Drosophila melanogaster: one gene and its partners. The protein of the gene in region 2 binds, or shares a complex with, the protein of the main gene of each other region. Each region holds a gene or a part of one and is shown on either strand. Other genes may lie near its edges. A codon is read from its position in the direction of its gene.

Evidence for each region.
Region 1: the proteins of Orc5 (region 2) and Orc3 are in contact, whole or in part, in a crystal structure (PDB 4XGC), measured with the Drosophila melanogaster proteins. Residues at the interface, in NP_477132.1 of Drosophila melanogaster: Ile72 (codon at 4,167), Glu73 (codon at 4,164), Tyr75 (codon at 4,158), Ile79 (codon at 4,146), Glu82 (codon at 4,137), Asp86 (codon at 4,125), Asp94 (codon at 4,101), Arg130 (codon at 3,993), Tyr291 (codon at 3,510), Met292 (codon at 3,507), Arg293 (codon at 3,504), Ile294 (codon at 3,501), Glu295 (codon at 3,498), Leu319 (codon at 3,426), Glu320 (codon at 3,423), Leu321 (codon at 3,420), Pro322 (codon at 3,417), Tyr323 (codon at 3,414), Tyr324 (codon at 3,411), Ala325 (codon at 3,408), Asp383 (codon at 3,181), Leu386 (codon at 3,172), Ala387 (codon at 3,169), Tyr390 (codon at 3,160), Val397 (codon at 3,139), Leu399 (codon at 3,133), Thr400 (codon at 3,130), Cys401 (codon at 3,127), Asn402 (codon at 3,124), Leu403 (codon at 3,121); in NP_476904.1 of Drosophila melanogaster: Ile105 (codon at 3,949), Gln107 (codon at 3,943), Leu140 (codon at 3,844), Lys141 (codon at 3,841), Val144 (codon at 3,832), Cys183 (codon at 3,715), Thr184 (codon at 3,712), Met185 (codon at 3,709), Lys186 (codon at 3,706), Gln187 (codon at 3,703), Glu213 (codon at 3,625), Cys214 (codon at 3,622), Asp222 (codon at 3,598), Leu225 (codon at 3,589), Ile226 (codon at 3,586), His230 (codon at 3,574), Ala243 (codon at 3,535), Thr244 (codon at 3,532), His250 (codon at 3,514), Tyr255 (codon at 3,499), Ser258 (codon at 3,490), Ser259 (codon at 3,487), Arg262 (codon at 3,478), Leu263 (codon at 3,475), Ala270 (codon at 3,454), Pro272 (codon at 3,448), His302 (codon at 3,299), Ile303 (codon at 3,296), Leu305 (codon at 3,290), Tyr306 (codon at 3,287).
Region 3: the proteins of Orc5 (region 2) and Orc4 are in contact, whole or in part, in a crystal structure (PDB 4XGC), measured with the Drosophila melanogaster proteins. Residues at the interface, in NP_477132.1 of Drosophila melanogaster: Met1 (codon at 4,380), Glu2 (codon at 4,377), Glu20 (codon at 4,323), Glu24 (codon at 4,311), Leu25 (codon at 4,308), Asp28 (codon at 4,299), Ser30 (codon at 4,293), Glu31 (codon at 4,290), Thr32 (codon at 4,287), Tyr33 (codon at 4,284), Pro34 (codon at 4,281), Ser35 (codon at 4,278), Phe40 (codon at 4,263), Gly41 (codon at 4,260), His42 (codon at 4,257), Asn100 (codon at 4,083), Met101 (codon at 4,080), Leu102 (codon at 4,077), Val105 (codon at 4,068), Glu106 (codon at 4,065), Arg109 (codon at 4,056), Arg115 (codon at 4,038), Arg132 (codon at 3,987), Asn137 (codon at 3,972), Val141 (codon at 3,960), Arg144 (codon at 3,951), Gln146 (codon at 3,945), Leu148 (codon at 3,939), Asn150 (codon at 3,933), Leu151 (codon at 3,930); in NP_477320.1 of Drosophila melanogaster: Val9 (codon at 2,872), Arg12 (codon at 2,881), Arg13 (codon at 2,884), Lys16 (codon at 2,893), Glu17 (codon at 2,896), Gln20 (codon at 2,905), Arg21 (codon at 2,908), Tyr23 (codon at 2,914), Arg58 (codon at 3,019), Asp89 (codon at 3,172), Asn91 (codon at 3,178), Leu92 (codon at 3,181), His93 (codon at 3,184), Val98 (codon at 3,199), Ser102 (codon at 3,211), Glu147 (codon at 3,346), Tyr250 (codon at 3,655), Arg253 (codon at 3,664), Asn254 (codon at 3,667), Asp257 (codon at 3,676), Glu260 (codon at 3,685), Tyr261 (codon at 3,688), Ala299 (codon at 3,802), Tyr300 (codon at 3,805), Asn303 (codon at 3,814), Phe306 (codon at 3,823), Arg307 (codon at 3,826), Ala310 (codon at 3,835), His311 (codon at 3,838), Arg313 (codon at 3,844).
Region 4: the proteins of Orc5 (region 2) and Orc2 are in contact, whole or in part, in a crystal structure (PDB 4XGC), measured with the Drosophila melanogaster proteins. Residues at the interface, in NP_477132.1 of Drosophila melanogaster: Lys169 (codon at 3,876), Ile382 (codon at 3,184), Cys401 (codon at 3,127), Asn402 (codon at 3,124), Leu404 (codon at 3,118), Ser405 (codon at 3,115), Ile407 (codon at 3,109), Ser408 (codon at 3,106), Thr409 (codon at 3,103), His412 (codon at 3,094), Asn424 (codon at 3,058), Ile425 (codon at 3,055), Met426 (codon at 3,052), Glu427 (codon at 3,049); in NP_731873.1 of Drosophila melanogaster: Asp438 (codon at 2,367), Arg443 (codon at 2,352), His468 (codon at 2,277), Asn470 (codon at 2,271), Thr471 (codon at 2,268), Pro472 (codon at 2,265), Leu473 (codon at 2,262), Leu474 (codon at 2,259), Trp475 (codon at 2,186), Asp476 (codon at 2,183), Gln477 (codon at 2,180), Leu480 (codon at 2,171), Trp487 (codon at 2,150), Ser521 (codon at 2,048), Ser524 (codon at 2,039), Glu564 (codon at 1,919).

The regions. Positions count from the first base shown.
Region 1 is NT_033778.4:13,200,885-13,209,491, forward strand, and holds Orc3 (origin recognition complex subunit 3), read right to left. Parts: upstream 5,664-8,607; 5' UTR 5,625-5,663; coding exon of another isoform or gene 5,497-5,624; intron 5,441-5,496; coding exon of another isoform or gene 5,296-5,440; intron 5,240-5,295; coding exon of another isoform or gene 5,114-5,239; intron 5,042-5,113; coding exon of another isoform or gene 4,892-5,041; intron 4,833-4,891; coding exon of another isoform or gene 4,592-4,832; intron 4,517-4,591; coding exon of another isoform or gene 4,506-4,516; 5' UTR 4,325-4,505; coding exon 4,298-4,324; intron 4,235-4,297; coding exon 3,431-4,234; intron 3,372-3,430; coding exon 2,134-3,371; intron 2,069-2,133; coding exon 1,972-2,068; 3' UTR 1,844-1,971; downstream 1-1,843. Other genes in the region: ValRS (Valyl-tRNA synthetase), read left to right, coding at 5-22, 114-1,143, 1,208-1,710; CG34315 (uncharacterized protein), read right to left, coding at 4,506-4,516, 4,592-4,832, 4,892-5,041, 5,114-5,239, 5,296-5,440, 5,497-5,624; FLASH (FLICE-associated huge protein), read left to right, coding at 6,208-6,465, 6,522-6,712, 6,767-7,309, 7,369-8,607.
Region 2 is NT_033779.5:13,828,060-13,834,416, reverse strand, and holds Orc5 (origin recognition complex subunit 5), read right to left. Parts: upstream 4,581-6,357; 5' UTR 4,381-4,580; coding exon 3,283-4,380; intron 3,230-3,282; coding exon 2,945-3,229; 3' UTR 2,929-2,944; downstream 1-2,928. Other genes in the region: mRpS23 (mitochondrial ribosomal protein S23), read left to right, coding at 1-120; Polr2C (RNA polymerase II subunit C), read right to left, coding at 166-993; GatC (Glutamyl-tRNA amidotransferase, subunit C), read left to right, coding at 1,346-1,792; PolG2 (DNA polymerase gamma subunit 2), read left to right, coding at 1,789-2,479, 2,534-2,928; Arpc1 (Actin-related protein 2/3 complex, subunit 1), read left to right, coding at 4,999-5,071, 5,141-6,201. UniProt on the Drosophila melanogaster protein: Component of the origin recognition complex (ORC) that binds origins of replication. DNA-binding is ATP-dependent, however specific DNA sequences that define origins of replication have not been identified so far.
Region 3 is NT_033778.4:24,793,701-24,800,139, reverse strand, and holds Orc4 (origin recognition complex subunit 4), read left to right. Parts: upstream 1-2,725; 5' UTR 2,726-2,847; coding exon 2,848-3,039; intron 3,040-3,099; coding exon 3,100-4,287; 3' UTR 4,288-4,400; downstream 4,401-6,439. Other genes in the region: CG3611 (uncharacterized protein), read right to left, coding at 665-1,030; CG12849 (uncharacterized protein), read right to left, coding at 1,527-1,676, 1,740-1,904, 1,954-2,109, 2,168-2,215; ETH (ecdysis triggering hormone), read left to right, coding at 4,682-4,867, 4,926-5,351.
Region 4 is NT_033777.3:13,961,636-13,968,753, reverse strand, and holds Orc2 (origin recognition complex subunit 2), read right to left. Parts: upstream 3,870-7,118; 5' UTR 3,821-3,869; intron 3,763-3,820; 5' UTR 3,747-3,762; coding exon 3,173-3,746; intron 3,105-3,172; coding exon 2,259-3,104; intron 2,189-2,258; coding exon 1,752-2,188; 3' UTR 1,679-1,751; downstream 1-1,678. Other genes in the region: Kots (kotsubu), read left to right, coding at 4,880-5,022, 5,107-6,538, 6,604-7,118. UniProt on the Drosophila melanogaster protein: Component of the origin recognition complex (ORC) that binds origins of replication. DNA-binding is ATP-dependent, however specific DNA sequences that define origins of replication have not been identified so far.

The DNA of each region.
Region 1 (8,607 bases), on a different chromosome or scaffold from region 2:
TTAGTCTGCTCATGGAAGTGTGGTGCGTAAAAAACCAAAACATAACTCTATAAATTATAGACAACACTTTTAAATTAGACAAATTAAAATTTTCCTATTTGTTTCATTTTTAGAACGACGACGAGCAGTACTGGATTGTAGCACGCAGCGAAGCGGAGGCTCTGACCAAGGCAGCCGAACGTTTTGGAGTGGACGCCAGCAAGATAGTACTGAAACAAGACGAAGATGTCCTGGACACATGGTTCAGTTCGGGAATCTTTCCCTTCTCCGTTTTTGGCTGGCCAGACCAAACTAAGGATCTGCAAACGTTCTATCCCACATCGCTGTTGGAGACGGGTCACGACATTCTCTTCTTCTGGGTGGCTCGCATGGTATTCTTTGGACAGAAGCTGCTGGGCAAACTGCCGTTTAAGGAGGTCTATCTTCACCCCATGGTGAGGGATGCGCACGGACGCAAAATGTCCAAGTCCCTGGGAAATGTTATCGATCCTATGGATGTTATTCGTGGCATTACGCTCGAGGGACTGCATGCTCAACTTGTGGGCTCCAACCTGGATCCTCGGGAGATCGAAAAGGCTAAGGCTGGACAGAAACAGGATTATCCGCAGGGAATTCCCGAGTGCGGCTCGGATGCACTTCGATTCGCGCTGTGCGCCTATATCACGCAAGCGCGCGACATCAACCTGGACATCAATCGCGTTCTGGGATATCGTTTCTTCTGCAACAAGCTGTGGAACGCCACCAAGTTCGCCCTGCTGTACTTCACCGGCTCTGAGAAGTTTGACACGGAGCTAAGTGCGTCTGCAGCGATCAACCAGATGGACGCCTGGATCCTGTCACGCTTGGCAGCTGCCATAGAAGCTTGCAACACCGGCTTTGAGTCGTACGACTTTGCTGCAGCGACCAGCGCCTGCTACGCATTCTGGCTCTACGATCTGTGCGACGTGTATTTGGAGTGTCTGAAGCCGATCTTCCAGAGCGGCAGCGAGGAGCAGCAGACCGCCGCAAGGCGCACGCTCTACGTATGTCTAGATTATGGACTGCGCTTACTCTCCCCGTTCATGCCTTTCATCACGGAGGAACTTTACCAGCGGCTTCCGAGGGCAAATCCCGCTCCTAGCATTTGCGTGGCTAGCTATCCCAGTAAGTCGCATTTGATTTCTTCATGATGATAGAATTCAAATAAATTTAACTTCCTCATAACTAGGCAATACATCCTGGCGCAGCACAAAGATAGAATCGGACGTTGAATTTGTGCAGAAGGCGGCGCGAATCATCCGATCTGCCCGTTCCGACTATAATCTGCCCAACAAGGTTAAAACCGAGGTGTATATAGTATGCACGGATTCGGTGCCCAGTGAAATACTCAAACGCTACGCCAGCGATCTGGCCACAATCTCCTACTGCTCCAATGTGGTCTTTGACAGTCCCGCACCGCAGGGCTGTGCGATCCTCACCGTGACGGGCCAGTGCGAGGTGCACCTGCTGCTCAAGGGACTCGTGGAGGCGGACAAGGAGATAGCCAAGCTGCAGAAGAAGAGCGACCAGCTGGTGCAGACGGTGGGCAAGCTAACTCAGGCCATCCAGGCCGCCGACTACGCAACTAAGGTTCCCGCCGAGGTGCAGGAGGCCAACGAGACAAAACTCTGCGAGTCGCGGGCAGAGATCGAACGCATCGCTGCCGCCATCGAGACTCTGAAACTAATGTGAACAGGGAACGTGGTAACCGCTAGTCGGGAAGACTGGTAATTGATATTTAGTACGCTTGCCTTGCCAGCTGCTGGGCTTTACTTAAAAAATACAAGAACGCGCTTCACTCGCAAACAAAGTTAATGCATTTCGTACAGAGTAGACAAATCGATTGATGTTTTATTTATTCATAACGTCCCACACATGAAATTTGCCCCAATATAAATAAATAGAAAAGATAAAAATACCTAAGGGATTTTGGTTATTCATAGCCCGAGCGAGCTACCAGGTTAATCGAGTGGCATGATCCGTCTTGCGCTTCGACATCTTAATGTACCCCAGAAACTGCAACTCGGCTACGGCACGCGTGAATCGGGCCCTGGTTGAAAGGAAAACCAAATGAAATTGATGATATTACAGAGAGAAATCCATTTTTTTACTCACTGGATCTGGGGATCGATTTGTTCCTGGGCCACTTCCTCGTGGTCGCTGTCGCTCACAACAGATCGAAAGGCCTGCAGCCAGTCGAAAAGGTTGATCATGCGACCGCACTCCAGGTGCAGCTTGTAAACCACGGAGAGATCGGGCAGTGTGCCAACCAGCAGTGATTGATCTTGTAGCTCGCAGCACTTGCACTGCATGTAAAAATGTGGATTATTCAGGGCAGTGTGCAGTGCAGCCCGCGGAGCACCAATTATGTTTCGCCGCACGGTAGCAATGTCGCTGAACACAAAAAGTTCGTGAATAGGTGGTGCATCCTGCAGCGCACGGAGATGATCCTGTACAATCTGCGTTTCGATAAGCTGCAGAGTCTTTTGTAGAGCTCGTCCGAATTGGGTGGTGGGCGTGTTCAGCTGATGCCGCATCTTGTCCTCCTTGCTACGCTGTAGGAGCTGATCTTTCAATTCTTGACGCGAGGCCACCGGAGTCAAATGGTCAGTCGCCTGGCGGGTTTCATTGGGCGATGTCGTTGTAATTGTCGCCATGGTGGCCTTGACCACTTCGTCCACTGCAAGGCGTATAGCTTCTAACTTAGGTCTCAGCACAGCAGTGCAGGCCTCGCCCAATTCCAGCGGAGCAATTTCTTCAACCAGGAACTGTTCGGTTCTTTCCAGGGCTCGATTCACTTTAGCAACAAATTCGTCCTTGGACAGAAAGCTTAGCATCTGCAGGCACTCCTTGTACTCCGGCGTCGAAATGATCGCACGATTAAGACAGTTGACGTACAGTTCCCGGCGTAGCTTTCCCAGCGGACAGCGCGGCAAATCACCAACCAGCTCTGTAAGGAACTCCAGAGAGCAGCGGAAAAGCAGGAAGTGGAGCAGGCAGTCGCGCAGCAACTGCGGCAGTTTCTTCTTTAGGTAGTCATCGTCCGTGAGCACGGCTATGATGCGTTTGCAATCATTGATCTGCTCGACGTACGGACGAAACGATGGGAGCCTTCTGATGGTTTCCATATCCTCGTGGGTCAGCTGCTTTATGCGTCCCAATGCTTTGCTGTAGTCTGTGCAAAGAGCAAAGGCATTCCCACCAAAGAAGTGTTCCATCAGGCAGTACTTGAAGCCCTGAATAAAGCCGTGGATGGAGAAGTCGTAGTATAGGAAGATGTGCGTCAGGAACTTGAATGTCTTTCCCGACAGGTGGAAAGCGTACTTGGGCGACAGCAGAACTTTATCCAGCACCTAAAGGTTGTTAGAAAACCGATTAGTACATAAACTAGCACAGAGTTAAGGAATATTACCTCATTAAGGCCCGTGGGAGCAGCTTGAGTCTGGAACACCCTTAGACGAATCTTGCTGCTGACGTGGTATGGTAGTGTCCCATGGACAGCTGTCATGGCCGTGGCCACTCCCAGGACCAGGACGAATGGAAGCGAGCCGCAGTGAGCGCTCAAAATTAGAATAAGATCCTGCAGCACGCTTGCGTTAAAGCACTCAAAGTCGGGAAGGATGACGACCAGCTGGCGGCGCTTCTGTTCCGAGTCAAAATTGTTCGTGTACCAAGACTTCAACTGCTTCATGGTGCACTGCGAGCGACGTAGCCGCTTGCGATCCCGTTCGGCACCATCCTCGTCCTCGTCCTCGTCTTCCATTTGCTCCACTTCTGCATTATCTTCTACGAGCCCGAAAACCAATGTCTCAACGGCCGCCTTGAGAGTGGCGCAATCCCTGGACTGCAGCACACATACCATTGCAGCACGTTGGGCATGGAGTCGCTGGGTAAGTGCCGTGAACTGGCTGAGATGATCCGGCTGATTAATGCCCGTTAGCAAGGCGGCGGTGGGCAGCACCTCGTCCGGGGTGTCGCGCTCTGCCTGCCCCACCACAAAGTCCACCAGTTGCTCCAGAGTGCGGGCATAGCTGCGGTGCTGCAGGTCGGCAATGTGATCGTTTATCTGATTCCAGGCCTTGCGATATTCCTCATAGAAGGGCTGCTGCACTACCTCTTTGCCAAGAAGACTACTGGATTCTGCGGCAGGACGCTTCCGTTTGCTGGCCGCCTTTTTCCCTGCTCTCGTAGCGCCATTTTTGTAGACAAAACAGCCCTGCAGACAACAAAAATAAGTAGTTAAACATCTATGTCCAGTTTGGAAGCCGAAGCCACTCACCTTGGACACTGAAATGGTGGGATCCATCGCTGGCTTTGCACTGCGGCCCGATGTCGTGGAGTCTTTAAGTCGCCGGGTTGCGTTTATTTATTTATTTGTTTAGGTCAGCTCTGTGCCAATTAAAGTTTCTTCACCGGTAGGAACGCGAAATGAAATCAGCTGGCTGTTGTGTTTGGCGCCAAACGGGCGGCAGTGTTGGCTAACGACTTTAGGGGGTATCTTTGAAAACAAGTGTGAAAAGTATAAATTAATTGAATATTTCATCTAACATGAACTAATAATAAGAAATCATACCCTTCGTGCTCGTACGCCACCATTTTGGTGGATACGAATTCGTCGTAGTTTCTGTGAACAGCACCAAGTTTTTTGAACGTTCGCCATCGCAACGATCCGACCATTTTGGGGCCACTTGGAATGAGAAAAGATAGAGGAGCAGGAAATCGAGGAACAGTATGATGGCTGCCAGGAAGTAGTCCTTCGTGCGCATCTCGGCGAACCTTCCACCGTTTATAATCTGCGCGTGATACATGACAAACTGTAAGGAGGAAACTAAATGACAGAAACTAATTCAAAAATGTATGACTCAGTACTAACCATCAAGATGCTGATCACTATAAAGCAACGGGCGATTATAAACGAGTATGCGACATTAGCCACGATGTAGAGCATCACGAAGTATATGGCGCCGATAATGGAAACCACTGCAAGCACAAATAGCACCACAACATCCAAAGTAAGATCCAGCTTAAGGGGATAACAATAAAAATGTGAAGCTTCAGATTTGAATCAAATGGCTTTCATGTGGACTCTTCTTACCGGAAGAAAGGAACCACAGACAATAAAAAGCGCCAATGCTACGGTCCATATAAGGAAGCTGAAGAGAAACTGATACTTGTAGTGGCGGGCAACCAGCGGTGCAATCCCCAGTACAATGCATTCAAACTGGAAAGAATAAGTTCATACTGCCACCCAGGTTATGTTTCACATTGTAGACTTACAATTAGAAAGGCAAACAACCAGTTTACCATTTTATTAAAGCGCAGTACCTCGAAAAATATGAAAAGTACGAGGAGTATCAGGCCTATTCCAAAAAAAAGGCAGCTCAACCAATGGTACGAAGTAAAAAATTCCCTTAGAAAATTTCTGAAAATTAAGAAAAAGTGCAGTGAGGATGAAGTAATGTGAAAATACATACGTACACAAAGCGGAAAGTGGCCCATTGCAACAGCGCAAGGATCAGGAATATCGCGGTTAGTAGGTAAGTGATCAGAGCGAACTTTCTTCTTTCCTTCTTGTAGTAAGAACTTTTTTCCGGAATGTCTGCCATTGTGTAGTGTTTCTCGAGTATTATTGTTTGTATTGTGATGTTTTTTTTTAACGAATTTAAGTGTACAGTAATACGAAATGGGAACTAGATTGATTTTAAAATTATATTCTTGGGAAAACACGTAAGTGCATAATAAAATTTTTAAAATATTCGTTTTGGCGCCAAATGTTGCTGCTGGATATCGATATCCACTATCAGGGTTGCCACATTTTCAGCCGGTCAGCTGTTGCTTCCGATAATCAACTGCATCTTCTGTTATCGATTGGCGGCAACACGGGATTTTCTAACAATATTAAATAGAATAATAATAATAATTACATTTATACAAATACACGGCAGGGAAACAAATTGCACGCCAGTTTGGAGGAAATGCTCAGGACAGTGACCATTGAGCTTTAGTGGAACTTTTATTCCCTGAAACAAAAATCAAGAACATTGAAATTCTTTTGTGTTTCGAATTTTGATCAATTTATGACTGAACAGGTAATCAATAAAGTAGCTCCATTAAAAAACAGTAACTCTAACAATTCATTTTATGTATCCTTGTTTAAAGGGCAGCCAAGAAGAAACGTAAGCGATTGGTATGGAAACGCCTGCATATGCCACGAAATCTGGCGGAGAACTGGTGCTGCCCGAAGCTCTGGAGGACTTGATGGATTTGGAAGACCAGGACGCGGGCGGGATGAAGTCCAACGTTAAGGATAAATCCATGGATTTGGATATCTATCACGATTTGTACGATATAGAGCCTGCAGGTTCAAAGAAGCCTGACCAAATGGACAGATCCCTTGAACTGGACATCTACGATGATTTGGACGACTTTCAGAAGGCCGAAGATCGTGTAAGTTGTGCAGGAATACGTCCTTTCAGCAGAGTTACCCATTTACCATCTCACAGAATACCAAGGAGCTACAGGCATGGGAAGCCAAATACGAAAAGGCACTGGCCGAAATTGAAGCGCTAAAGGTTGAGAATAAGGCACTTGGCAAGAAGATAAAAACCATGGAGGTTAATCTACAGAATCTACTGGACACAGCTAAGGCGGAGGTAAAGAGAAAAGAGACACTGATTGCCGAGCTGCGAAACGAGTAAGTTAGCATATTGACTCCCTGCTTCTTAACAAACAACACATTGTTCAACAGAAAGGACGATGTATGCTTCCGACGAAAACGAGCACGGGCGTTTGACGTACCAGGTGCAAGGGAACCCGAAAGTAAGCGTCCGAAAGAATTTCAATCTACACCAATCGATGTCAGGAAATATCCGGAAACGAATAGAAATCCGTTCAAAACGGCTGCAAAGGACGCCGCTAAGGATGATGCTAGGAAGATGATGACCAAAAAAGATGACACAACGAAAGTCGTATCAAAAGATGTTGAAAGAGGCGTAAAATCCAAGGAGGATAATAAGATGGCGACCAATAAAGATGATGACAAGAAGTCATCCTCAAAGGATGATGCTTGGAAATCTAGGACAAGAGAAGACGCCAAGAAATCGGTCCAAAGAAGCAAGTCTCCCAGGCCGGAACACTCAAAGACCACCGATCGGAAATCTACTGCACAGGCTCGTCGTCCAGATCCACATCGCAGCCGGAGTCCAAAACATAATTCCCGGCGAGATCATCACAGGAATCAAGAAAGCAGTTCCCGGCACGCCAAACGGCGAAGCCAATCCGCATCGCCCAGGTCAGTAAAGCAGAGGGACATAAGTTACATTTGTTGATAGCACCATCTGATTTTTGTAGCAAGATACAATTGCCAAGAGAAAAAGCAAATGCCATCATCACACTTACTGACGATGAAACAAATGACCAACGCAGCAAGAGCCCAGTCCCCGTGACCGTCAAACTCGTAACTGAATCTCAACCGGCTGAAAAAGTCGTTTCCAACCGAAGGGATGCTGCTTTAGAAACCAATGCAAATTCCTCAAAGGAATCAAAAGTAGAGACGAAGGATATTACTCAACCGACAAATGGTTTAATTGCTGAACCTTGTATTCCAAAACATGAGATTATTCCGGGGTTAAGCTTAATTAACCCAGAATCGGCGGATTTTTCTAAAAATGAGATCAAGTTAGATCCTGTAATCTTACAGGATCGTACAGAAGACTCTGGCCACCAACTTTTAAATAAGGAGCCTATTCCCAAAGTTGTAGTACTTGAAAAATGTAAAAACATTTTAGCTGAAGATTGCCCAGCTGATGAGCAACCCCTGGACAAATTCAAGGATGGAAAAGAATCTGAAGAGACACAGGCAAAGTTAGACAAAAAAGAGCCTTTTGCAGTTGAAACTGCTGTTGAAACTCCTAGCAAAGAAGAAAGCAACGACAACATAGTATTATCAAAGAATACGACGTCTCAAGCTGATGTGTGTTCTCAGCATGATGAGAATGATGAAGCAGAGATCCGAGAACCGATGGATCAAGTTAACTCCGTGGTCGAGTCCGACTTGGGAGTAAGGATTATTGAGGATATTCGGTTGCCCAAGATGGCGAATATCGACCATTTTGCTGTAAAGGTCGACAACCATGGTGAAGCGCCAGCAGCTGTCACAGATTCCGCTTTAAATCAAGAGAACCTAGCCACACAGGACCAAAAGATTTGCGCAGAGATGAAAGATCCAACTATTTTTACCACCTCGGACGAAACTCCAATAAAGTCTGCTACTATATTATACGCCAAGCCCGATTCAACAAAACTGGATCACAGCGATGAACATGACGAGGTTATCCTGGAAACTGCCATTGACATGCTGAAGAAGGAGCAGGATGCAGCGAGCACCGCAGAATCCACATATCCGAAACTGCGGATCGCAGAAGATGCCATTGAGATGGCACTAGAGCAATTGCACCAGCAGTCGCCGGACGAAACTGTGGTGACCTCAACGTCGAATAGAGCGCCGCAGACGCCAAAAAGCCTCATCACAATACTCACCCAGACTCCAAAACAGGCTGATCCACTAAGATCCCAAACGAAATCGAAGAC
Region 2 (6,357 bases):
AGCGACTTCAAGGAGGCTGTGGTGAGCCAGCAAATCACGTCGTCACCAGCACCACCTGCTCCCAAGGGAAAAAAGGAAGCGAACGTGGGCATTAACATAGACAGCTTGTTCAAGGATTAGGCGGAACATCTTTTATAAACTTAAAATAAACTTGTTATATGTAAATCAAACGGCCAATGCATCGTTTTGGGACTCGTGGCTGAGTTGCGTCTGCAGGTTTGACAGCTTGTTCTTCAGCACCTGCACACCCATGACCACAATGTTCTCAGGCTTAAGGGCACCGGCGGATTCGACGTTGAAGAAGAACTTGTTTGGCTTGGCTTCCCAGTTGTAGGGCGCCTCGTACTGGTCGTCCTCCAGTTCGGTGTGCTCGCTCTTTGGCCACTCATCAGGTTTGGGATACAGAGTGTGTCGCATGGAGTTGTCCGGATCATACTCGAAGCACACGCCTGCGGTAGGATTCCACTTGGCGTGCTCCTTGCCAAATCCCTTCTTGGCGTAGGCGCGCAGCTTCAGCTCCTGCCCCTTGCGCAGCTTAATTATGAGGATCTCATCGTTGCTCTCGCCGTACTCGTTGTCCTCCTCACCCTGGTTGCGGGACGTCACCGGCAGGACCTTGGCATTGCTCGACTTGAGATCGGCGGTGGTCACGTGGCGCGTCTGTTCCTCGCTGCACTTTACGTCCAGGGTGAACTCCACGCTGCATTCGGGGCAGAAGTCCAGGCAGATACAGTCACGCGTGTACTGCAGCCGCTCCACGACGTCGTCGGAGATCAGCGGTATCAGACCGATCCGGTGGGCTAAAAACTCATCCGAGAGCACCGTAGAGTTGGCTTCCAGTTGCACCCAGTCGATGGCCAGCGTCGGCGTCTCCGCGATGAACACTCGCCGCAGGCTGTTGGCCACACTCAGTTCCGTGTCCTCCAGGACGAACTTTACGTTGTCGTCCGTCAGCTCGGTTATCTGCACGGACGGCTGGTTGGCGTACGGCATTGCGGTTTTGTTTTGATGAAATTAAAGGGTCACGAAAAAAATAACCCGCTCAGTGAAAAGGAAGCGATGGAAGTGCAGCAATAACAGCCGGCGATAAGTGTGCCGTTATCGATTGTTGTTCTCGTTTCGGATTTATAGCTAGATTTTTAACAATAAGGGCTGGATATATTAAATTGAACAAATGTGATGGAGACATGTTTAATTAAACTAGATCACAATAACAAGAAAATTGCTTTAAATTAAGATAGAATAAACACATAAATCAACATTTTTGCAAGGACAATACTTTTCAGATAACATTTAGCTGATTGTTCCGAAACTCAGTTCCACCTCTGATTTTGTGCTGGTGAGAATGTTGCGTCTGTTCAGCAGCCGTTTTTACTGCAAAATTGCAACAAAATCGAATGAAAAGGCCACTAAATTGGACTTCAAGCAGCTAACGCATCCCACCAAGGTGCCACAGACACCAGTGGACTCGAAGTTTCCCGACACCAGCGCCTCCGAAATCCAGATCGACACGAAAACCATCCAGTTGCTGGAGCGGCTGTCGCTGGTGGATCTGGATAGCGAACGAGCGCTGGCCACGCTAAAGAGCAGCATACAGTTCGCGGACAAGATTGCCCATATCAACACGGAGCACGTGCGTCCACTGTACACGGTCCTGGAGCATCAGCAGCTCCAGTTACGCAACGACCAGGTGACCGAAGGCGATTGCCGGGCGGAGGTGCTCCGGAACGCCAAGGTGACGGACGAGGACTACTTCGTTTCGCCGCCGGGCAACATTCCGCTGGAGCAATGAGTCGCATACAACGATGCTTTAAGTCCCTGGCTTCCGCTGGCTTCTTTCGCACCGTGGAAGACAATAAACTGGAGCTACTGAGTCATGGAAGGGAATACGCCAAACTGTTGCAACAGCATTGGACACGACTACGTCCCTTGGCTGCGCACCTGGGCGCCACGAAAGAACCCATAAATCCAGTCAACATCCAGCGTTTTTCCTTTCCACAAAGCCAGCAATTCCGTAACAATTTCCAAAAACTCGTCAAAGATCATCCTCGAAAGGCCAAATGTCCCACTCTTCTGAAACATCAAAGCACTTGTTCTGGTCCCACTAGCAATTCCCTATTTGGGATAAAGGGTCCTACGCTACATTTAACCACGGACTTCCTAGTGGAACCACATCGCGCACTGGAGCACTTCTACAACATGCAGCGTGAGAGCAAGATCTGGTGGATGCGTCTTTCCTCGAATCCCAGTCGCTACCGCATCGTACCTTGCGATTTGGCTGAGGATCTCAATCCCAACGACTATCAAGCCATCGATATCCGCACGAGCTACGGTGATGCAGGAGAAGTGACCGTGGAGCAACTGAGCCTGGTGAGAATAGTGGACGACAAAGACTTCCGGCTGCCCGATGCGCGAACGGGTGAAATTGTGCAACCGACTGTCATAAGGTCTGTGATAGAGCTGGAAACTACCACCTGCGGTAAGTGGTCATCATAACTATCTTTGAAAATCTTTCTATATTATTATCCTTTAGCTCTGCTTCTGGATGGCTGTGATCATGGCCGGGACTCGCAATCCCTGCTCTTACACCGCGTTCTGGCGCCATATCAATGTGGAATTGCCTGTGTGGAAAGTGATTCCGAGCTATCTGCTGACTTGTCTGATCTTTGTCAGCATCTGAAACATGTTCTCAACCACGCCGGTCTTAGACTTTCTGAAGGGGATGGAATTCGTACGACGAAGAACGCTTCTCATTTAGCAGAGCACTTGCTGGAAACGGATATGCTCGGCATACCTTATACACTTGTTATAAACGAGCAAACGCTAAGAAACGGACTGATGCAGTTGCGCAGCCGGGACACAAGGCTGGCGGAGACCATACACATAAGCGATGTACCGGACTATTTATTAAATATATTTAAAAACTAAAAAAAACAACCAGGGGCTACATAAAGTCGCAGAGATATTGGCGGACATTAAAGCCCACCACCTTGCCAATCTGCAGGACAAACTCCAAGCCAATGGTGCACTGCAGCCTAGCGGAACCTTCCATTATGTTTTGTTCGCCGGAGACGAAGCTTAGTAGATTGAGGTGCACCAAAGTTGAGATCTGGGAGAGAAGGTTGCAGGTCAGACCGACTTTCTCCTCTAGAATGGCGTAGAAAATGGCCAGCAAACGATCGATGCTAAAGGATTTGGGTCCCAAAGTGGTGGACATTTTCTCCGTGGTCTAAAAGGTATTAAAATAAGCAAATGGAGTCATCGAAAAATTGAATAACCCACCTTGGCTCTGGCGTTGACCGTCTGCATCCGCTTTCGCTGTTTTCCATGGTGCTTGACGAACAATCGCTTGTCCTGCTTGGCGGCATTGTGGCTGGCTAAGAAGGCAGCGATCAACAGAAATTTGGCATAGTAGGGCAGCTCCAGCGACTGCGCCAGCTTGCGAACGCTCTGATCTTCTATGGCGGTGAAATCTTCAACTTCTTCCGCGGGTTTTTCAATTCGCATATAAATCTGGGTTAAGGCGGAACGCAGTGGTCCAGCTATATGCCGCCAAAGCCGGGAGATGTCCGTGGCATCCACAGTGCCGTCGAGTACAGGCTCCAAGTATGTGGACAGACACTTCCTGGCGGTCAGCTGGAGCTCTGGAACATCGCGACAGGCTTTGTAAAAGACGCTCAGAAAGAGATTCAGATAGTTGTTGTAGAAGTCTTCAGTTACGGCTTCCTGGCAAATCTCCAGACGCTTCTTATCCTGGGCGAACTGTTCCAGCAGTTGATTTCGCACCTGCTGAAAGTCAGATCCCAGGATGCGCTGTGTCTCCGCCTTGTTGTACTGCGCCAAGTGCAGGCAGACGATTTCACTAAGTCCGGTCTTGTTGTAGAACTTCTCAAAGGGCAGCTGGGAGAGCAGAATAACGCACAGATTCAGGTTGGTCAGCTCCTGCAGTCGGAGAAGAACGGGCAACACATTGGCATCCATGTCGCGCAGCCTTTCCGCGTTATCCACGGCTATGAGAAATCCCTGATCCTCCACGCGTGTAGCGGCCTGCCGACGCAGCTGCTCCACAAAGTCCAGCATGTTGTCGACCTTCAGCGCATCACCTTGATCGGGTGCCAGCGAGTCTAACAGGATCTCCAGCATTATCTTGGTGGTGTAGCATTCGATGGCATTTAAATGCGCTGTGCGGACATTTTGCCGTTTTCCACATTCTTTGAGGAAAGCTCTGGTCAGAGCTGTTTTGCCGGTTCCACTGTGTCCGAATAGGTAAATTGCCGAGGGATATGTCTCACTCGAATCTCCTATCAGCTCGCCCAGCGTTTCAATGGCCGCCTCCCGACAGGGAAACAGCGGCTCCAAGGAGGAGCAGATGGCTTCCATAGCTGTCGTCTGCTTTTAAGTTTCCTCAGCTACCCACAGGCGAAGTGGTGTTATTTAAACGGGCTTTCAAAAGGGAAAATACTTCCTCGGTTTATAAAATAACAAAAATAAATTACGAGCCAGCCAGTTATTAAAAATTTGTTTACAAGAAATGGTTTCTGTTTAGTGTGACCATTGAAATGGCGCCAAATTATTCCCTCTGGTATATACCGAACGTGCGTAACAGCACTGGTACCTTAGCATTTTTCAAACAATCGAAAAATATCGATATAACGAAATAACGATAGTATTGAGGGCCATCGATTTTTGTTCCAGCTCTAATTTCGGGTGATTAATTTTGTGCATTACTTTTCCAAAGAGTTTTTTCCACAACGCTCTACTCTTCCGGCCCAGGCAAAGCCAGAATCCATCCCAGCAACGCCAGCTTAATCGTGTTGACGGCCCAGAGTCCGCGATTAAAACGAGAGCGAAGCTAAAATCCAGCGGAAACAACGCCCAATTGCTACACAGCGATATCCAAAATCCGAAAATCCGGCGAACCGAACCGAAGAAACTACGCGTGTGGTTGGATTTGGACGAGCGAACACTGCACATTCCGAGCGCATTTAGCCACCCACGATGGCCGAGACATACACCTTTGGCACCTCGCTGGCCTCCATCACCTGCCACGCATGGAACAAGGATCGAACCCGTAAGTGCGACCCAAATTACTCATCCGGCACAGTGTGACTCACCACCACCCACTCCCAAAAATTCGCAGAGATTGCCTTATCGCCCAACAACCATGAGATCCACATATACAGCCGGGAGGGCAGCGACTGGAAGCTGGCGGACGTGCTCAACCAGCACGATCTGCGCGTCATGGGCATCGACTGGGCCAAGAACACCAATCGGATTGTGAGCTGTGCCGCCGACCGTAATGCCTATGTGTGGACGCAGGGCGACGATGGCAAGTGGAAGCCGGCGTTGGTGCTGCTGCGCATCAATCGGGCGGCAACCTGCGTCAAGTGGTCGCCGGCGGAGAACAAGTTCGCTGTGGGTTCGGGCGCCCGACTCATATCCGTGTGCTATTTCGAGTCGGAGAACGACTGGTGGGTGTCGAAGCACATCAAGAAGCCGATCCGCTCTACGGTCACTTCGCTGGACTGGCATCCGAACAACGTTCTGCTGCTGGCCGGCTCCACGGACTACAAGGTGCGCGTTTTCTCGGCCTTCATCAAGGACATCGAGGAGCCACCGACGCCGACGCCGTGGGGCAATCGCAAGCCCCTTGGCCAGCTAATGGCCGAGTTCCGCAACTCGCAGACCTCGGGTGGCGGCTGGATTAACAGCGTGAGCTTCTCCAGCGACGGTAACAAGGTCTGCTGGGTGGGCCACGACAGCTGCGTGAGCATCGCGGACGCTACCAATGGCAATACGGTCATTCGATGCCGCACCGGCTATCTGCCCTTCCTGTCATGCGAATGGGTCTCGCCCACGTCCGTCGTGGTGGCCGGCTATAGCTGTGTGCCACTGCTCTACAGTCTGACTGCCGATGGAAAGCTGGTGCTGAGCGGCAAGCTCGATAAGTCGCAGAAGAAGGAGTCGAGCGGCATTACCGCCATGAGAATCTTTCAGTCGATGGACCGCAACATGCGCACGGAGAACACGGACACGGTGGTCGATTCCATACATCAGAACGCCATCACCAGCGTGCGACTGTATGCCGGCGACAAGGCGAGCGCCACCAAGGTGTCCACCTCGGGCGTCGACGGGCAGCTGGTCATTTGGAATGTGGAGCAGGGCGGCATCAATGGCGGCATGCGCAACCTGCAGATCTAGTGCGGCCCGGAACGGACCAGCGTTACGTGTTATTGTCTGTTAGCGAGTGTGTTGGCCTGGCCAGGAGCGAAGTATTTGCCAAAATGTTTTCCAAAATCGCTTTTCCCATTGTTCTGTACCGTGCGAAAGCCTTTTTACATAAATTAACCGAAGAGA
Region 3 (6,439 bases), on a different chromosome or scaffold from region 2:
ATAGACGGATGGGCTCGCCGGAAACTTTGAGGGTAATTTGCATATGGAACTTTTAAATCATACTGCTCGAAGTTGGCCCACGACACCTGGGCTTACGTCTGCAATCGCAGGAGGAGCAGCTGCGTCGATGGACACATTTATCAAGGAACTCGCAGTGCGGCGTGCCCCGAAATAACTATATTTTCGCAAACAGTATCCCAGATTATATTTCACAATTGTAAATTTATCAATCAGTTATCAGGCGAAGTGACTGTCCTAAACGAAATCCTTAAGATTCGCATGGTATCTATAATTAATTCACTGAGCATAATATTTCCCAGTTTATGGGCGCCATAAAGCAGTTTCCGAGATCCCGAACAAGCGAGGCAAGTCATCTCATGGAGTGGACAGACGCGATCACTTAATTACCTGTGTGAACTTTTCAACTGCGCCCCAGTAGGAGAAGGTACAGTGAGCACTCGCTACGGCGGCGAGGCGGGCGGGGCAAGCAGTTGCAGGTGGGACTGACGTTTTCACCTTGTTAATTATGCGCACGGTCATGCTAAAATCGCGTAATGAGTGACGGCCATTGAGAGTTGCATTGTCAGCAGAGAATGATAGTTTAATCGTGAGGGGTTCTGGCGAGGATTGGGGAGCAGAGCGGGCCGGCTGGTCACAGGGTGTCCTAGCACATGTACAGCTTGGAGGGCTTCATTCGGCCGTACTCCCCGTTCTCGGTGACCGCAACTTTGAGGCCCGTAATGCCGTCTTGCTCCAGCATCTTCAGATCCTCCAAACCTTCCGCAACCTCCTGGGCGGTAACCACGAACTTCTTTGCCAGGCGCCTGCGGTTGGCGTACTTGAGGAAGTGGCCGTCGCCGTACCGCTGGCGACTCGTCAGATAGATCTGGTCAATCCGCTGATAATGGCAGCACTGCATCTTAGGGTACCACGCGAAGGTCTCCTGCCAGTGCCTCGTCGTCCTTTCCATGGCATGACTGAAGGCGAGCTGGTAGCGCAGCTGCTCCGTGGTCACTATGTCCGCCGGCATCTTGTCAGGGGTGTGGGGTTGTGTTTACTTTACTTCGTGTCCTTCTGGTTGTGGAGTGGATTGATATATGTGTCCGAAATGTGTGAAGTTTGTGGCTGGCCCACCTGATTGGCAGCTGAGTTGCCAGTCCCGAGTGCCAATCCCGTTTTCTGTGTGCTCCCTAATCGCATTAGCAGCCACTTGACAGACGACAGGTGCAGTGCATCCAGGTCACTGCCAGCCACCTGTGCAGAAACTCTGCACATAATTGTTAACGCTTACGAACTGGCCTAGTCTGAAACCTATGTACATGTTTAAGTTAACTTTCGTCACTACACTATATTTATTTTCGTAAATCTCAGTAATGTGACAAATACATCACATACAGACCCACTTAGACTTACTATATTTACTATATTGGTCCTGCTGACCCCCATCCAATACTAAAACGGCATAACACCTTACCAATATTTCTGCTTACGGGTTGAAGAGCCTGGATATTACTGGATTTGACTGTTTAGCTCTTGGTAAAGTATAGGATGACATCGGTGCGCGGAATGCCCGCGACCATCCATGTGCTGTTCATCATGTATCTGCCATCGGGGATGATCGACTGGACCAGCTTGTTCAGATGCTGCACGGGAAGCTTGTCGAGCACGATGTCGTGCTGTGGGTGGGTGGGTGAGAAAGGCGAAGGTTATGCGGCATGAACATGGCAACGCTCACTCACGTCGTAGGGGCAGGTGTGGTTCAGGTTCGAGTAGGGGCCGAAGGTCTGGTAGACCCAGTTGGCGATCACGTGCTTGCGGTCGCGCATGAACTTGCAGGAGTCCACCTTGAAATCAAAGTTGTACAGGACTCGCCTGTTCTCGCGCATCCTCAGCTGGAATCTGGTCTGGAAGATGGTCGGGTGGTGTGAGACCGACACAGTTCTATACTCTTACCTCGCAGTTGTCGACGGGCAGGCGGAACATCTTTGTTTTTAGCGAAAGGTACTTGTAGGTGCGGTTCACGGACTTCAAGTAACAGTACTCAAAGTCCATAAACATCCTGTCGCGCACGAGGCAGACTACATTATTGAATTCGAAGTGTCCTCGGATCTTTGGATATCAATTATTCTATAGTGCCATCTATTAGCCATACGCATTCGATTCTTACTGCCATCGGAGACATAAAAATCAGCAGAAAAGTCCACAATCCGCTCATTCCTAAAGAGGTCTGGATCACAATAACCACAATACCGAGTGCCAAAAGCTGAAGCATTCCAAAAGTTATTAATTGTGATTACTCGATCCATTGCTGTTATGAAATTGCCAGCCGATATTAAATAATCTCTGAGAATCCATTGAGTGTTTAATAACTTATTTTAATGGACATTTAAAATACACAGCATTCCAAATAAACCTATTCCAGCAAATTGACCCTCAAAATGCCAACGACTATGCGATTAATAAAGAAATTTGTTCATATTTTTAAAGATGTTTATATGTATAATTGATTGTTATTTATAGAGTTACTATTGTACATATTCCTCAATCGTAGGTCCATTTTGTATGAACTAAAATGTTGATATTTCAAAATGTGCTAAAGCCGCAGAAATTAGATCGTATTGGTTTGTGGCACGAATATATTTTTCAGGCGGCTTAAGGCAACACTGAGTAGTATCAGAGTTCCAAACCACCGTACATTAAATGAACCAATATCGGTTTTGTTCCATCCCCAATGCATTGTTGACGTTTTTTGGCGCGACTTAATTACTGGCAGAAATCCAAACTATCTGTGCGTCCATTTAACTAATAAATAAGGAGGAATAAAGGAGTTCCGATCCGAGAGCGAAAATGCCGGAGGCGGATAGGGAGCTGGTCAGCATCAGGCGCTTCCTGAAGGAGCGCCTCCAGCGAGACTACACCACCTTGAGGGGCTACGCAAAGGAGCGGTCCAATGTGCGCCTATTGCTGCAACGCACAGCTGAAATGGGGGAATCCAACTCCTTGCTGCTCCTTGGGCCGCGGGGATCCGGAAAGACAACGGTATGAGTGCAGGCCTTACCGGGAAACCAATCCAGTAATCTATGCTTTCAAATTCTTTAGCTCATCAACTCCGTGCTGGCCGATTTGCTGCCCAATAAATCGTTCGGGGAAAACACTCTCATCGTCCACCTGGACGGTAATCTGCACACGGACGACCGAGTGGCCCTGAAGTCCATCACTGTGCAGATGCAGCTGGAGAACGCTGCGGATGGGAAAGTGTTCGGATCGTTCGCCGAGAACCTCGCCTTCCTGCTGCAATGCCTCAAGGCGGGTGGCAAGCATTCCAAGAGCGTGATCTTTATTCTCGAGGAGTTCGACCTCTTCTGTGCTCACCACAACCAGACCCTGCTCTACAACCTCTTCGACGTCTCCCAGTCAGCCCAGGCGCCCATCTGTGTACTTGGCGTTACCTGTCGCCTCGACGTGATCGAGCTGCTGGAGAAGCGGGTCAAGTCGCGTTTCTCGCACCGGCAGGTCTTTCTCTTTCCCAGCTTGCGGCGCTTTGAGGATTACGTTGACCTGTGCAGGGATCTACTGTCCCTCCCGACCGGCAATTCACTGTTGCTGGCGGCGGAGAAAATCTATAACCTACAAAACATCCAGTCGGGGGCACTTTACTTCTCCCGCAACCATTTTGACCCCGGGGAGTACGGCTTTTCGCCCAGACTACGCGATGCCTGGAACAAGCAAATATGCAAAGTCCTGGCCACTCAGCAGGCAAGAAGCACCCTCCAAGCGCTCCATGACTTCGACATTAGCGAGGCCTATCTCAAGAACTTCCTATTCCGCCTGGTGGCACATCTCCGACCGCAATCTCCCCACATCACAGCCGAAAAAATGGCTGCAGTGGGATCACAGTTTGAGGGCGACGACAAGATAGAGCTGCTTTGCGGGCTCTCAGTCCTAGAGCTGTGCCTGATCATCGCCATCAAGCACCATTCGCAGATTTACGATCGCGATTCCTTCAACTTCGAGATCATTTACGCGCGCTTTTCCAAGTTTGCCAAAGTGTCCACCACAATGCAGGCCGTGGAGCGGTCCATTGTCCTGAAGGCCTTCGAGCATTTACGCATCGCAGAGCTGATCATGCCGCTCACCGGTGGAGCTGGAGGGGGCGTAGGTAAGGTGCAGAAAGAGTTTGAGATGCATAAGCTGGCGCTGACATACAGCCAGATTCACCACTGTATGCAGCGATACCAGGCCCTTCCCACAGAGGTTGCTCAGTGGGCGCAAAGCTCTCTGATTTAGCAGCAGATCAGAAATACTTTGTATATTTATTTATTTAAAAAAAATTGTACCGAATCATTTAGTTGGTAAAGCCCTGTTTTGGGAAAATAAACTAATTTTAATTTATAAAACGTATATAAGAGAAAAGACAAGCATTTACATACGCAAGTGGTATGTACTATAAAATTTAGTTCTTATACAAATGTAAGTAATGTAATGTGTATGTATGCACTTAATTATGGCCAGGCATTTAGGTCAGGTTAGTTCAGTTTTATCTGCTTTGCACTTTCCGATCGATAATGCTAATTCCTGGAGTCACCCGCATTTCTATTCCACGCAAGATGCGGGTGGATCTCGCTATATAAAGGCCACCAATTGTGGAGCAGGAGTCAGGTGAAGCTTCAGTCGCATCAGCATGAGAATCATAACAGTCCTGTCTGTTTCGCTCTTGGTGGGTCTTGTGGCCATAAGCCAGGCAGACGACAGTAGTCCAGGATTCTTCCTAAAGATCACCAAGAACGTACCGCGGCTGGGCAAGCGAGGCGAGAACTTTGCCATAAAGAACCTAAAGACCATTCCTCGCATAGGACGCAGTGAGCACGTAAGTTATACCCATGGGCTTTCTTAAAGGATATTTTTAAACCATGAACTGTTTTCAGAGCTCTGTTACTCCTCTGCTGGCGTGGCTATGGGATTTGGAAACGAGTCCAAGCAAGCGGCGCTTACCCGCAGGGGAATCCCCAGCGAAGGAGCAGGAACTTAACGTGGTGCAGCCCGTCAACTCGAATACGCTCCTTGAGCTGCTTGACAACAACGCTATTCCCAGCGAGCAGGTGAAGTTCGTCCACTGGAAGGATTTCGATCGTGCCCTCCAGGCAGATGCCGATCTGTACAGCAAGGTTATCCAGCTGGGACGCCGTCCGGACCAGCACCTCAAGCAGACTCTCAGCTTTGGCAGCTTCGTTCCCATCTTCGGCGACGAGCAGAATCCGGACTTTATGATGTACAAAAACAACGAGGATCAGGAACTTTACGGCGGGGGAAATCGCTACGATCGCCAATTCCTCAAGTACAACATCCTGTGAGATGTGGAGTATTCGATTTGAATACGGACAAAGGAATATGACATTATAGAAATACATGTAACTTACCAACACTGCTAGCTAGTGTGTTTCAAATATATCCGGAACCTTGAAAATGGTCCAAGAAAAAATTTAAATATCTTTTCAGTTGAATAATCCCAGAAAACAAATGCCTCTTTTGGTAAGTCCAAAAAACACCTCTAAAAACGATAGTAAACATAATAAATTTCGGCCATATGGAAATGACTCATCCTCTATCGCACGATGGTCTGAATATAACGTAAGTCTTCTCCAAGTCTTCATTAGAATGCTTTCCCATAAGTACGTAAATACAAAACCAAATGGAAAGAGAAAATCGAAATCCGGATTGCAGTTGCTTGGATCAGAGCCTTTCTTTATCGCATTCCCGGATGGAATCGAATGGAATCAGCACATTAACGGTGCTTCTTTGACCAGGTCCACTCCACTGCAATCCGCACCTCAATCTGGCGAGTCAACAACCCAGCTGTCTTCTTTTGGCGGGGATTTGGGGATGTGGGGTGGCTGACTCAACGCAGCGAGCTCGGGCTTATCAAATTTATGGGGTCCGTGATGTTAGGAAATTCCAGCGATCGCATTCTTCTGCTCCCTTTTACCGACTTCTACCTTTTAATTGAATTAAACGATCTGCCCGCGAATTGAATTCCCAAACAGGATGATGGCGCCGTCGCATTCTGGAATTTGATATGTTTATTTTGCTTAATTAGCGGGCTGCTGTTAAGTATGCTGACCAGAATTCGCCACAATCCAGTAATCCCGCGGCTCATCAACAACTTCAATTACAAGCCCGGCTTGATCGGACTCAGACGCGATGACGACGCAAACTTGACTTTGAAATTTTTGCAATGCCTCACTGATGTTCGACTCGGTGCTGGTTGTTATTGTTTTTGGTCTTTTTGATTGTTTACTTTGGTTTTTAATTTCTATTTTCAGTGCAAGCGTAGAACAAGTTTGATAGTGGCTCCAGGGGCTTAGGAAGACAAATGTAAGGGGGGACTGGGAGTCGTGCTTAAGCCTTTTGCCCAAGCGCGACTGAAATATTTTGCTGTCGT
Region 4 (7,118 bases), on a different chromosome or scaffold from region 2:
TTGTTGATTTAATATTACCTTATGATTAATATGTTTACGAGTAATAATTATGAATTAATTTTAATCTTAAGTCAAAACACAACTTGAAACAAAAGCAGCAATTAAAGAAGAAACAACAACAACAAAAACAAAAAAACCTAAAAAATAATGCAAACAAAAAAAGAGCATAAAAAACAAAACGGAAAGTAAAATAAATTAAATTTAAAGTAAAGTAAAAACTAAAAGTAAAAATCGAAGGCATAAATACAAGCAGAAATAAAGAAATTCACTGAGAAAGCGTAACTATTATTATTATTATTATTATGATTACTATTATTACTATTATAATTACCGATTACTGCGTATAATTACAAAGCGTACACTTTGATTGTGATGTATATTCGATGAGTATGACTAATGAGTAACGAGTAAATGAGTAATGATACGGATATGATAATGAAGTTGATTTATATATTGTGTATATGTAAACTCGGAAAAAATTTTCAGATTCAAGGTTTAATTGCACCCACCACCCACCAAAATCGAAGAACTCCCCCATGAAATTGAGGAGAATGTAAAAATTTATTGTTTACCCGAGTTCTAAACTTTAATTTACTTTTCATCGCTGAATTCATGCCTGAACTTTTGTTTTTCGATTCCCCTCGTCTTTTCTTAAGTATCTAAAAGTATCTAAATTTCAATATCAGACGCCTGTTTCTCTTTGTTAAGCGCAAAATGTAATTAATTTGTTGTACAAAACTATAAAAACAAACAAACAAAGCATTGTCGAAATAAACGCAAGCAGTAGCAATTTGTGTATAATAAGCCGATAAAAGTGAAAAACCAACAACACTCTTGCATCGATTCATTTTGTAAAAGGGGAGATTCTCTTGGGTGGTTTCTCTTCTGATTGATTCAGAACCACATTCTGCCATTCATTCCCACAAACGAAGCTTAAAAAAAAGGACGAGCAAAGTAAACGTGATAACAATTATCTAACTATTAAAGAAAAAGTAAATGTGCGGCGCAGGAGATAAGACATTTTTATATGCAAAAATGCTGATCGCAAACTCGGTGTGTACAATTCAGGTATTCAGGAAGGGGTAGAATTTTGCAATAAACTCAAAATAATATTAATAGGAGCCAGCCATGAACGATTCCCCATTGTATGTGTACTTCCGATTGACTTCGCATGTGATTTGCTATCAAGAAAGTGTAAATAAACTAGCCTTAGTCGCAGCAATTACATTTCGTTTCGAGTGCACAATTAACTAGTTACAAGTCCAACGCTTTAATCTGTGTATGTGCGTGTCTGTATAGTGAATAGGTAACCGATATTAGCCTTTGGAATGGATGAGGAGCACGGAATGGTCAGGCGGTAGTGAGTCTTATCATTTTTGGCATGCTTAGCTATGTTTAGTTCGCCTCTTCTGATCCTTAAAATCGTATCCAAATGCGCTCTCATCCCCGCAGTCGTCGAGCACTTGCAGTGCTTTGTGAAGTTTTGTGTTGCTATATGCTCGCAACTGGAGCTGAGGAAAAAAACTAGCCATCCTAGAATGTGTATCTTCGAGCAAAGCGACAAATTTTATGCATGCCAATCTTAATGTGTAGAAATTGACAAAAAAATAAAAAAGAGCGAAAACAAACACTGCGCACTCATCATGGGCAATACAAGTGACAGCAACACAACATTTTTAAAAAGCGAAATTGTAATTGTATTTAACAATATTAGATAATAAATTAATATGTTCTAAAATTACGCCGATGGCCTATTTCTTCTCCTGCTCCTCGAGAAACTGCTGCAGCAGTGCGCCATCAATGGGAATGGTTAGCTGTTCGGAGCCATCAACGCTCCGTTTCGATTTGACCAGCTTGTGGTCGAGGAACTCGGTGAGCTGGGCACGCAGTGCCAGATCTGAGCTGACCAAAAATGCTTCGCGACAACTCGAATAGAGATCCCTGAACGGCATGCCCTGGTATGTGGCATTGCCCTTGTTCTTCAATTGATACTTAACAATCAGCATGTAAATGCCACGCGAATTGGTCGTTAGCGATGAGAAGACACTGCGCATCGAGGAGAGGGCCAATTCGCCGGAATTCTGCACCAGCAGCGAGTTCTCGAACGCAGTTTCGTTCGTATATGGCAGCATTGTTGTGCAGTCCCACCACGAGAAGTTGAAGCTGCACAGCTTTCCCTGGTCCCACACTGCAAATTCGTAAACAATAATTAGTTTTGCTGTCGCACTATAAAGATCTCAAAGCATCGGTGCACTCACACAGTGGGGTATTTATGTGATCAATGGAGGCCAGTAGATGAATGTTCGGTATGCGCGCCAGGCGCGAAAGAATCGCCTGTGCCTTCACATTGCGAAGCATGGCTCCATCCAGATTATGGACGATTAAGAACAAATGTGTTTCCGGTATCAGTGCGAACTCCTCCTCGATCATATCCACTGCTTCATGTGGATTAGCCGGACTAATGCCCGCATCTAATATGTCGCTTGTGATGCTATCCAGCATATCCTTGATGGTCAGACTGGGAAAGAAGCCATTCACCACCAATACCGTTTGCTTATGCAAAACTTCCCGATGGAATGACTGCAGCAGCTGGTGCTTGGAGCCCAATCCATATAGAAGTATATTGAAGCCTTCGTTCAGAATACACATCCACTTGGGAAAGTACGATCGATACTCCTCCATAATGGCATTAATAGAACCCTCATGCTCCGCCGATGTCTTGATTTCCGACAGCAAACTGAAAACACGATCGGCGGCCAGGCGAGGATTCTTTAGGCGATCCAAGGTGTGATCCGAAGTGAGGATCTTGCTGCTGGCATGCGAGTGAAAGTAACCATCGCTCTCGGGCACAAACTCATTCGATTTTTTCGCCCTCGCCGATTGTCGCAGGCGGGCTGCCGATGGAGTTTTCGGCAGAACGGGGACTACAATGGCACGGCGGGCTCTACTGGGCGTTTTGGGCTCATCATCGGCGGCGTCGTTGTCAGAGGAGTTGCCAGCATCGCTGCTACTGCTGCTGGAGGAGGATTCCTCGTCACTGGGCCGGAAATCGCTTTCATCTCCAGAAAAATCCTCATCTGAGTCGGCCACTATTTTGGCAATCTCTGAAAGTGATAATGAATTTATAAATAATGGAAAAAATGGTAAAAGGACGCAGAAAAAGGCTACCCACGCTTCTTGACGCGGGTGCGCACATGGGCGGGAGTCTTTGGCTGATCCATGGACTTCTTGCGCTTCGTATCCGGCGTCTTGACACCCAAACGCGGCGTTTTTGGGGTCTTGGGCGTGCAGGGCGTGGCATTTAGGGCGGCCAGTGCCATGGCATCGCGTTTCTTGGGCGTATTGAAGCCAAACATGCTGGTGCCGGCCACATTGTACTCGGATTGGATGAGATGCAGATCCTTGGCAGCGGGACGGGCAGCATTTTCCGACTCCTCGATGCTTTCTTCTTCTTCCTGATCCTCCGCATCGCTGCTCCGTTCATCGGACATTTCCACATAGTTCACAACAATTCGCTCTTCCTGGCCTTTTCCATTGCTTTCCTTCTGGTACGCCTGGTATTTCTTGGTGGGACTTGGACGTCGGGTGGAACGCCGACTGGTGACCTTGGGCTGAGATTCCACTGCATTCCCAACCATTGCCGTGTTCAAGTCCTCGGATTCCTCCTCCGAATTGGTGAGGTTCTCAATGGACATGAGGTTCTCCTTCCGCGGCGTCTTGTAACCGCCTTTGTTGCTGGCACTCATGACGCTTGCCACTTCACTGGGGGCCCTGATTATCAAAATATTCAATTGGTAAACAAATAGTTCGCAAAATATACTCAATGCTCAGAAGTGGCGGGAATTATCGATAACTAAGACATGCCAAGAGTGTGGCCAGCTCTCGACCTAGGAAGTAGCTAAGTTTCTAGCGTAAAAAAAACTAAAGGGGCATGACAATTAAAACACAAATGTTATAAATATTTGTATAAATATATATTTATATAGGTAATAATTACAAAAAGAAATTCCGTGACACAGTTTTTAGAAATAACTATATTGTTCGAATAAGAATTGCATACGTTATCGATAAATTTAAATTAGAATCCAGTCACTGACAAAAGCTGAAGTGTTTGTTGGCAACACGTGCGCGTACAAAGCGGTTATTTTTTCACTGTCACAAATTCCTTGCGGATTAACCACAAACGTTTTTAAAACTAAAAAGTGTTAAAATCGGTAAGTTTAGGAAAAACAATATTTGAAGATGGGAAAATTACGCTACGTTCTTATTCTGAATTGCGGTCGTCAATGGACTTGCGGTTAATTTTCAAATAATATTGCCTATATTGGCAAAATAATAACACAAAGTAGATTTGCGTTTTCAGATATATTCAAACAGGTTCAAAGAGTATTCAACTTCCATGAAAATGGCTTGGCGAAATTGATTGTAACTGGAATATGTAGAATATTTAGCATATGTTGTGTCGTTTTAATTAAAGTTTAAAAACTTCGTAAGCCTTATTTTTCCTTTTTTAATTAACGATCAAGTTTACTTCCATCAGTGCGCTGTAAATCGAAAACCAACCGATATCGATATCGTCCTGTTCTCTTTCTTCCCACGTTCGTTCAATGCACTGAAGCGCGTGCCCAGCGAGCTTCGAATTTAAACGCGTTTAGTGAACGTATCGCATGTTTGTGAGTTGTGAATCGCGCACTTAAATTCTAAAGGATTCCACCTTTTTCAAAACGAAAACATAGAAAGTTCTCGTCCAGCGTAAATAGATTTTCACTTTGTATTTCATCGCGTGCTAAAAGTTCTGTTAGCGCCATTTTGCTGCGTTTCCTTTAACGCGCCGTTCTTTCATTCACACGTTCTTGCGTTGTTACTTTGAATTGAAGAAATGGAAAAGTCGGAGGAAAAGACATGCGTCGTCTGTGGCACTCCGACCAGATTGATGTGCCAGCGGTGTGGAGAACCGTACTGCAATGAAAAGTGCCAGAAATTGGATTGGCAGAGGCACAGGCAGGTGTGCATCATTATGCCGTGAGTTAAATTAGTAAATCCGTTGCGCAGCAGTGCATTAAGTTAGGGGTTTTTAATTCTTATACAATACAAATGCGTTTCCAGACCCTTGGTGGAGTGCCGGCCTCTTCAACCGGCGTTGAATCCAATCCAGAGCGTAGAGAACCAAGTTGCTCTGGCTAAAACTCGCACTAAATCGCCAATCCCATGTGTGGAGCCCACAGTTGCTGTGCCGAACAAGCCGGATCTATCGGAAAACTGGCGCAAACATTTGCTGCCGTCGGGCATGGAGTTTTTCAAGTGCCGCGTGACTTTCATGGAGAACGATGGACCCATTTGGGTGGTGCACGTGGCGAATGTGGAGGCCATTGAGCGAATGACGGTCAACATGCAGCGCTGCATGCAGAATAAGAAGATGATTCGTATGGAAGGAGTGCGGGAGGACACCCTCGTGGCCATCAGTGTGGGCGACAAGGTCCATCGCGGTCATGTTTTGACGGTTTGCCAAAAGAAGCAAGAAGCCAATGTCCGTATGATTGACCACGGTCAGATAGTAGCTACACCGTTTCGGGATATCTACACCATTGTGCCCAAGATGGCCGAAAGCAAGGCGTTCGCTTTCCGTGTTCAATTGCCCACGAACACTGGAGTTCAGGACATTAAGAACTTGACGCTCCGTATGTTGGGAACCAAAACCAGCGACGGAGCTTATCACGTCCATCTAAAGCCCAAGATGATAATACCACTAAGTTTGCCCTTGGAGATGCTGCAGCTTAATCCAGAAGTCAAAGTCATCCGGGTCTTTAAGGCAAATCCAAAGCATAACGAACCGCAGCTGGCCCTACTCCAGATCAACGTGATGGGCCATGTCAACGCAGACTTAAACAACCGCATAGCCGAGAAGCCAAGACAGCCATTCACGCTGCCCTTCCCCGAGCAGAAATCCATCTTCTTTGCGGCCACCCGCACTAAAAATGGTTATCGGCGAGCTTTCCTATTGGATCATATCATGAAACCGAGGCCAACCTATTTGGTTTACGAAATGGACGAGGGTAGAGTGTCCATAGCCACCGATCTGAGTCGTATTCCCAGCGAACTACTTGGCCTGCCCAGTCGAGTGTTTGCCGCTCAGCTGGAGGACTCCGTACCCGAGGAGCTTGAGACTCAAGGTGCAGAACTCACGGTCAAGTTTAAGCTGGATAATAAGCCGCCCAAGGAAAAGTTACGCGCGGCGAATGCCGCCTTGAATTCCAAGGGCGAGCAGATATGTATGGCCCGTCTGATCACTTTCTTGGGTCAGATTTCATATTTAGGCCACAAGTACTGGCGTGAACCCATCGTCCATGATTCCATCGTATTCATTTCCCACTTGGTCAGCTTTAAGGAGGTATACATCAGCACTCCAGACGCCAAGCAGTATGCGGAAATTTTCAAGCGCCTGGAGTACAAGTGCGCTACCATTACCAAATCTAGTGATGTTTCCGTTGGCAGCATCGTGCTCGTTGTCTCCAAGCAGATGGGTCACTTCCGGGGCGAGGTTTGTCGATATTTATGTTGCAGGGTTTCAATCAGTAAAGTCTATGAACTTTTCGAATTTTACAGATATTGAGTAAGGATAGTGGATTGTTCGAAGTAATGAACGTTGATACTGGTGCCACCCAAAAGGTGGAGTTGGCGGAAATACGCAGCTCCTGTCGCTTCCTGGAGAATTTGCCCGTATGTCTGATGCGTGTACAGTTGCAGAATGTCTGCAATATTCCGGATGCAGCTGTGCCAGTTAACAATGCGGCCATTCAAATGCTGCACAAGCTCTGCGCCCAAAAAGAACTGCTAAAATTGAACATGGTAGATGCAACTACATCGACCGTGGACCTGCTGTTCAGCTCCGGCGATTCGCGCTCCTTGACGACCCAAATGTTGCCTCTTATATTTACACCGGTACAGGAAAAAGCAGAAGTTGCACCACCGAAGGCTGCTTCTACTCCGAGTCAATTGCCTGTTGTAACTCACAAACAGCAGAAGGTGTCTCCACAGTCTCTACTTCTGCTGGATCTGCCTCCACTGCCGCCCTCTCCACCGGAGTCGCCTTTTCCTGCCGACGTGACAAGTACAAAGTC